Nothobranchius furzeri: one gene and its partner. The protein of the gene in region 2 purifies or fractionates together with the protein of the main gene of each other region. This does not show direct contact. Links are inferred from orthologs where the notes say so. Each region holds a gene or a part of one and is shown on either strand. Other genes may lie near its edges.

Region 1 (3,959 bases), on a different chromosome or scaffold from region 2:
GAGCTATTGCACATTCACTCCTCCTCTCGGTCGCTCAGGTCATCTGACCAGTTGCTCCTGGACGTTCCAAGGACACAGCGTAAGCTGAGGGGATAGGGCCTTCGCTGATGCTGCTCCCAGAACTCTTTGCCGGCACATCTTAGAAAGGCCTCCTCACTGGAAACTTTTAAATCATCTTTAAAGACCCACCTTTTTAGCTTGGCTTTCAACACGTTTTGGATTTCTATTTGATTTGTGTTTTATTTTAGTGTGCTTTTAACCTTACACTGTATTCTATTTTATGCTTTTATGTTTTTATGTTCAGCACTTTGGTCAGCGAGGGCTGTTTTTAAAGTGCTTTATAAACAAAGTTGGCTTGGCTTGATTAAGCAAATGCAACTCTAAACTCAATTCCTTTCTTTGACATTTCAGACAGGAAATGTTGAGTTATCCTTTATGCTCAAACCTGTTCACACACACACACACACACACACACACACACACACACACACACACACACACACACACACACACACACACACACACACACACACACACACACACACACACACACACACACACACACACACACACACACACACACACACACACACACACACACACACACAGCGAAAGAAAGAACAGTCTAGTGTTTTACCAATTCAAATTTTAATCAAGATAAAAAAAAAAGAATAGCTCCAGGTACAATGTCTGGTGGACCAGACACTGGGTGCAATGCTTTAACAGTTTATAATAAAAAATTTAAACTATGAAACAGAAAAACAGAGAAGTGGACACCAAGTTGCGCAAGCATTACAGATTAAAGCCAAACCATTGCACAAAGTTAGAGCTCCCAGTTTTTCACTCCAACTTTCTTAACAGCAACTTGACTCAGATACTTACATGTACGGACATGTATGCAAATTAAATCAGGACCTGGTGGAAGATGCGTTATTTCTTGGCAAAAGAAATCTTCATGGCGTTCGTCTGAGTGATCTTAAAGCCCTGCAGAGCATCTCGTGCCGCGCCAGCCTGCACCTCGTTTTCAAACTCCACAAAGGCGATGTCGTGACGACCAGGAACAAGACGCACCTCTTTGAAGCCGGGAAACCTTTAACGCACAGAGCAGCTCAGTTACAATTACAGAAAAAACAGTTTGAGAGAATTAAATTCTCAGATTATTTGCAATGTTAGCATCACAAAACAGTCAAAGTTGATCCATTTTTACGCATCTGTTTAAATGTATGACTAGAAAATGAGTACTGACTGGTTGAAGAGCATGGACAGCATGAGTTCGTTCGTCTCCTCTGGCAGGTTGGTGAGAAAGAGAATGTGGTTGGGTGGATTTTCTGAAACCTGTGGGAAGAGAGTAAGGATTAAACTACCAGGACAGGAAACAAAACGTTCTGTGAGGAAAAAGAACACAAGCTACCTGCTGAGGCATCTGTCCTGGCATCATCTGACCAGGAGCAATCCCACCAGGAGGAATCTGGCCTGGAGCCATCCCAGGAGGAGGCATCATTCCAGGAGGGGGCATGTAAGGTGGCTGGCCTGGAATGTGCATCATGCGAGGAGCCTGGTTCATTGGTGGCATTCCCTAAAGAATGACAAACGTTTAGTTTCTATTCATGTTAATTGAGCTTTTAACTCTTAATGCATCTAAAACCTGCCGTTACTTCACTAACAAATATCTAGATTGTTTAACCATGATTGTAAAAAACACCTAGTGCACTCACTGGGATTGCAGAAGGTACCCCAGCAATCGCTGCAGCATTTTTTTTACTTCCTGTAGATTCAGGTTTGGGCTTCTTCTTTTCTTTTTTACGGTCACGCTCCACAAAAGTCCCCTTCATCTTAGCTATAATATCCGAATCCATTTTAGAGTACTGGATTCGCTGCAAGAAAGTATATATTTGAGTCACACGTGTACTTCCATCAGAAATGTCTAAATTGTGCATTATTAAACATGTTTAATAGACGTACCATAGGTTTATCATAGAAAGGAAAACCCTGCATGGACCTTAATGCATTAGAAGCGCTGTTAATCTCTTTAAAGATAACGAACGCCTGACCCTTCATCTTCAGGTTTCGTGCGACCAAAATGTCCAAAATTTGCCCAAACTGAGAGAAGATGGCATAAAGGGACTTCTTCAGCTCTGAGGGAGACACACAAACAACAAATAATCAATAACAATAATAAAGGAGACTTTGCATTAATTGTGCGTGAAATAAACAAAGAAAAGGAAAGAAAATGATGCGAAACTCACCATCTTTCTTTATCTTCTCGTTTAGGTTGTTGATGTAGATCGTGTGATTGGGGCGCACCTCTGCTGGAGTGGTCATGTTTAAGGCTAGGAGAATAAATAAAATAGCTAAAAATAAAATAAAGACTCAAACATGTGCTTATTTTCACGCAGTTTCAAGTCCAATTTCATTCAAAAATCCAGCATCTAAACGCAATGGTAACAAACATGGCGGAAGGCAACAACAGCGTGTTAGCTAAAAGCTAACTAACAGCATTTAGCGTCATTAATCTGCCTAAATACTTCTACTAGTTCCAACGTTACCTCAAATCGTTTAAGCTTGTCAAAAATATTTTAAATCAACAGTTAAAATGCACTTAACCATGTAAAACGCGTTAGATGTTGACGTAGTACCAACCTGAAATTGAATGAAAGCTCCGAGACTTTTTTCCCCAGAAAACAAGAGGAAGAAATTCTTCTTCTTTGTCTTATTTGTTGGTTACCAAACCGTTCTGGTGAATTACCGCCACCACACGGTGTAAATCAAAATAGCGAAACTCAAAACACCATTTAACTTACAATGGCTAAAACTAAAATGGTTTTTCTTCTTATTTACGCTGCTCTGGGTGGCTGCATGTTGGAGTAGCTCTGTTAACTATATGTAAGTTTAGCCTTTTCTTGGACATTTTTTCTTCTAGTTTCTCAAGAAAAACGGTATTTTTTTGGACACTTTACTTTTCTGTTTCTGGTGCTGTGAAGCTTGGAGGACTTTTGCTGCTATTGTTTAGGTTTTTTCACTTTTTGAGCATTTGTTATGATGCGTAACCATGGCAACAAGCTGGTTTACAATCGGGAGCAGCTGTTTAACATTGAAAAGGCTGAAATAATACCTCAACTGACGCGACAAATCCCAAATTAACTAAAACGCAAGAAGCGTGGGTGCAGAGCGGGAGCAAAACGGAGACAGAGAAAGAGGAAATTCAAACCATCTCTCCCATCGATCATAATGGGCAATGTGAGATCACTGGCCAACAAGATGGAGGAACTCCAAGCCCTTTCAAGGACTCAGTCAGAGTTTCGGCACTTTCTGAACCACTGGAGGAGATAATGCAAAGAAGGATTCTCCAGAGAATCAAGAAAATTATGGACAACCGTGAGCATTCTCTTCACAAGACTGTCCGACAACGGAAGAGTGTCTTCAGTCAGAGGCTTCTTCAGTTTCGCTGCAACACTACTGGAGATCCTTCCTGCCAACAGCCATTGTAATATACAATAACTCTTTGATGACTTGATTATTATTATTATTCTGAGATACTACAGCAATCAGTTTCCCCCTGGGATTAATAAAGTATTTTTGAATTGAATTGAACAGTAAATCAGAAATACTGGAAAAACATGACGTCAAAAAAAGGCAGAGTAGACAACCTAAGAAGAATAACAGTAACTTTACAATAAGGTACGTAAAATTATGCTTCGTAACTAGGGAACGACTTAGGGAGTAATGAGTAATGAAGCAGGGAAGAATAGGTAGTTAACCAATACATACTGGTGAAAACCCAACAGTTTTATTCAGGGACTAATCTTTGAACGCATTAAGGAACAAATCCCAAATGAATGTAGTGCCTGTGGACTTTTTTTTTTTGTAAACTTCATGAACAATGCAGATAATTTGCAACATCACAGTGATTTAACATCACTGTTTCATCTTGACTTCACACGTCTGTCACTTTTTTGTCC
Region 2 (3,648 bases):
AATTTTAACACAACTATTTGAAAAGGTTGTAGCTTGGAAACGGTTAGAGACAAAATTAACTGAGAAAAATCTTCAGTAGAACCGAAACAGTCATATTTTGACCTCACCAGGCTGCCGTAATGGAAATGCATCATTTTTGAATTTATCACATTTAAATTTTTTTATTTATATATCCATATATAAAGCTCCTTTGAAGTTTCAATTAGATAGTTTAGCTTTTATATTGTATTATCTGACATTTACATTGGCCTCACTCAAGAGGAATGCTTTTCAGCCATATTTGTCAGGTTTCTTTGGGCTTGTACAGCTCCAGGGATGAGTGTAATGATCATTTGACCCAAGGGAAGGAACATTTTTTATAGTTATGTGGCACAGTTTGACTTCCATATGTAACACATCTGCTGCTTTTTTTCCCCATTGCAGCGACATCTGTCACATTAGCGGTGTTTTACCATCATTTCTACATCCACCATGTTCCAAACACGGTGAAACAAACGTCAAACCTAACGCTTGGAGCTTGTAAGCTCCATACACCATACTCTCGTGCAGCACCAGCTGTCTGTTGCTGCAGTAGCGTCATCTTTCCGGCTGGATGAGTGAATTTCTTCATCAGAGACAATATTCTGCTTTATAATCGGAGTCAGTCATGACCAGACCTGCCTGCAATTTAAGTTTTATCCCTCTAATATTCGCCCTCTCCGTGCTGCGCTCGTCTCCACCCGTCCTCTCCTCGACTGGGAACCTCTCGCAGTTTTCAAACCCTAAAAACTCAGAAACTGTTAATATAAACGCACCCATAAGTGTTGTTCAGCCTGAAGTTACACATCTCCACTATCTTCTGGTGTAAAGTAGTGACTTCATGAGGGATGGTAGCTGTGGCTTGTTAAAGTCAGCAACAACGCTTTTCGCAGTATTGTGACTGTGGCGCTTAAAGGGTTGAGCCCCATGAGATGTCAAAGCTGCAGCTGTTACACACCTGCTTAGTATCATAACCTGGATGGTGGGAGCTTTCTTCAGCTGAATGAAGATAAGACTGAGATCCTCATCTGTGCCCCAGACAAGCTGGTCCCCAAAGTCAGAGACTCTCTTGGTCAGCTTGCTTCTCACACCAAACCCTCTGTCAGGAATCTTGGTGTGACCTTTGACCCAGCTCTCACCCTGGATTCTCATGTTAGTTCTCTTGTTCGCTCTTCCTTCTTCCATCTCAGGAACGTTGCTAAGCTGAGTCCCATTCTGTCTCGCTCTGAACTTGAGACAGTTCTCCACACCTTCATCTCCTCACGCTTAGACTACTGTAACTCTCTTTTCACGTGTCTGAGCAGAACCTCCCTGAACCGTCTACAGGTGGTCCAGAATGCCTGTGCTCGGCTTCTGACCAAGTCCTCCAAACACACCCACATCACCCCGCTTCTCCTCCAGCTTCACTGGCTGCCAGTCAACTTCAGGGTTCATTTCAAGATCCTGGTTCTGGTCTATAGGGCCTTACATGGACAAGCACCATCATACATTGGTGATCTTCTTAGTCCCTACACCCCCAGCAGGTCCCTGAGGTCCAGTGATCAAAGCCTACTGGTTGTGCAGCACCAGGCTAAAGACCAAAGGTGACAGATCATCTGCTGCTGTGGCCCCCAGACTCTGGAACTCTCCCGCTGAGCCTGAGATCAGTGGACTCAGTGGTCTCCTTTAAACTCACCTGTTCAGGCTTTAGTGTGACCTTCATCACCCTCTCCTTGTTCTGCTCTCCCCACCTATTCCACCTTCCTCAGGATCCACTGATTTCCCTCTTTCCTGTTCACTCTCTCTCTTTCTGTACATTTTTAATCACAATTGTCTATTTTTTGCTCATTTTAATTAATATTTTTTGCAGTTTGAAATTTTTGTTTTGGTGAAGTGCCTCGTGATTTTTATCTTGTTTTGTTGTCTAAATTTTATTTTTTGTGTTGCTTCAGAAAAGATGGACACTAACCCTAACCTGGCTCTCTGTGCAACAGAGGACACGTCTACATTTAAAAGGGACAAACTGACCCAGCCTGCGAGGACGCCATCCTTTGACAGTACGTCCCCGTTCCACGTCCACCAACACCCGTCTGCCATCAATCTTCTTTCCGTCCGCGTGCTTGTAGGCGGCTGCAAGAGAGGGGAAAGAGGGAAGGCGGAGTTAAGATGGGAGTTCCAACAGCACCAGTTTGGGCAAGGGAGAAAAAAATAGAAATGAAAACAGGAAACGGTGCTTTAATATACTGACCAGGAGCAGGTGAAGCCGAGATGGCTGCTCCCTGGGTAAAAGCCGAAGGATTACGGAAGAGGACCTCCTTCCACCCGATGAGTGACTGATACGTTACACTCTGACCGTCATTAAGCCCTGAGGCCCGGCTCATTTAGATCCCACGGTTCTAACGTAGCCAGCAACATCACATCTGTGTGTGTGTGGTGTGTGTGTGTGTGTGTGGTGTGTGTGTGTGTATGCAGTGATCCCTCGCTACTTCGCAGTTCGTTTTATCATGGATTCACGACCGCGGATTTTTTCTTTGGAGCCTTATTGAAGGGAAATTCGCCGATTCGCGGTATTTTTCTATGCGAAATATCAAGAAATTCCTGTTTTTTTTCATCGATTTTATCATAAAATGCACTTTTTGTAATAAAACTATAAAAAAAAAACAAGTAAAAATACAGTACTATGTAAATGGAGGGTTTTAAAAGTCTGAATACTGAATACGAACCTGTTAAATAAATACTGTAAATATGGTGTCCCTACTTCGCGGATTTTCACCTATCACATCCAGGTCTGGAACGCATCTACCGCGATAAACGAGGGATCACTGTACAGCCAATACCACATCTCATCATCCAGTCTAGCCAGCTGATGAATTCAAGGCCACACGGACCAAAGCTGGCTGTCTAAAATCAGAATTACTTTTAGTTTTGGAGAGTTTAAATCTAGAGTGATTCCAGGAAGCCCGGAACGGACCCATCACCGTGTGGCGCACTAGACACTCATTCCATGAGCTTGCTGCCAATGGCCTCATGAACATCTGAGCCACCGGTAGAGCCTTACCAAAATTCCTCTGCACCAGAGCAGCATCACAACCTCTCCATCAGGGGCCTTACCACCACCCCTCCACTTCCTGGTTCACCAGAGATGACAACAAGTTACCCACCCAATGATAGGGCCTTACCAAACCCCCAATAGTCCCACAAAAATGGACCAACTGAGGAAACAAAACAATAAACAAACACAAGGTAGTTAAAAAAAAAAAAAAAAAAAAAACAAGCACAAAACTGGGCGACCTGTTGGAGTAATCCCAACCAAGTGAAGTCATGTTCCTACCACAGGTCTAAGGTGAGTGGAGACCTCTCTCTGACCGAGTCAGGAGTGTGTTTACTGGTGGGCTGTGGCTACAGGGACTCGTGAGCTCATCAGTGAAGCTGTAGTGGTGTGTGTCTGCCTGGGAATGTAATGCATGAACAGTCCATTTAGTTGAGTTATCAAAGAGTTTCCCTCATCTGCCTCTTCCATTAAAGCCAGCTCCAGACTGGTGTTGTCCCACTGCATCCACATATCCCTTACTGGTGATTTAAACTAAAACGTGTTGTCCTGGACTACCTGCACCACAACCACAGGGTTGCCGATGACAGCTTTGATACGAA

What was found. Proteins that work in one complex are often made in the same cells at the same time.
Region 1: the proteins of snrnp70 (region 2) and snrpa purify together in Homo sapiens (affinity purification with mass spectrometry; 4 studies listed by BioGRID and IntAct, counting the BioPlex papers as one, with this or other methods). This does not show direct contact. The link is inferred for Nothobranchius furzeri from reciprocal best matches to the Homo sapiens genes SNRNP70 and SNRPA.

Annotation. Positions count from the first base shown.
Region 1 is NC_091753.1:42,104,579-42,108,537, forward strand, and holds snrpa (U1 small nuclear ribonucleoprotein A), read right to left. Parts: upstream 2,768-3,959; 5' UTR 2,641-2,767; intron 2,331-2,640; 5' UTR 2,323-2,330; coding exon 2,247-2,322; intron 2,136-2,246; coding exon 1,963-2,135; intron 1,875-1,962; coding exon 1,716-1,874; intron 1,577-1,715; coding exon 1,412-1,576; intron 1,336-1,411; coding exon 1,247-1,335; intron 1,091-1,246; coding exon 931-1,090; 3' UTR 630-930; downstream 1-629. UniProt on the Homo sapiens protein: Component of the spliceosomal U1 snRNP, which is essential for recognition of the pre-mRNA 5' splice-site and the subsequent assembly of the spliceosome. U1 snRNP is the first snRNP to interact with pre-mRNA.
Region 2 is NC_091758.1:13,877,869-13,881,516, reverse strand, and holds part of snrnp70 (U1 small nuclear ribonucleoprotein 70 kDa), read right to left. Parts: intron 2,128-3,648; coding exon 2,026-2,127; intron 1-2,025. UniProt on the Homo sapiens protein: Component of the spliceosomal U1 snRNP, which is essential for recognition of the pre-mRNA 5' splice-site and the subsequent assembly of the spliceosome. SNRNP70 binds to the loop I region of U1-snRNA.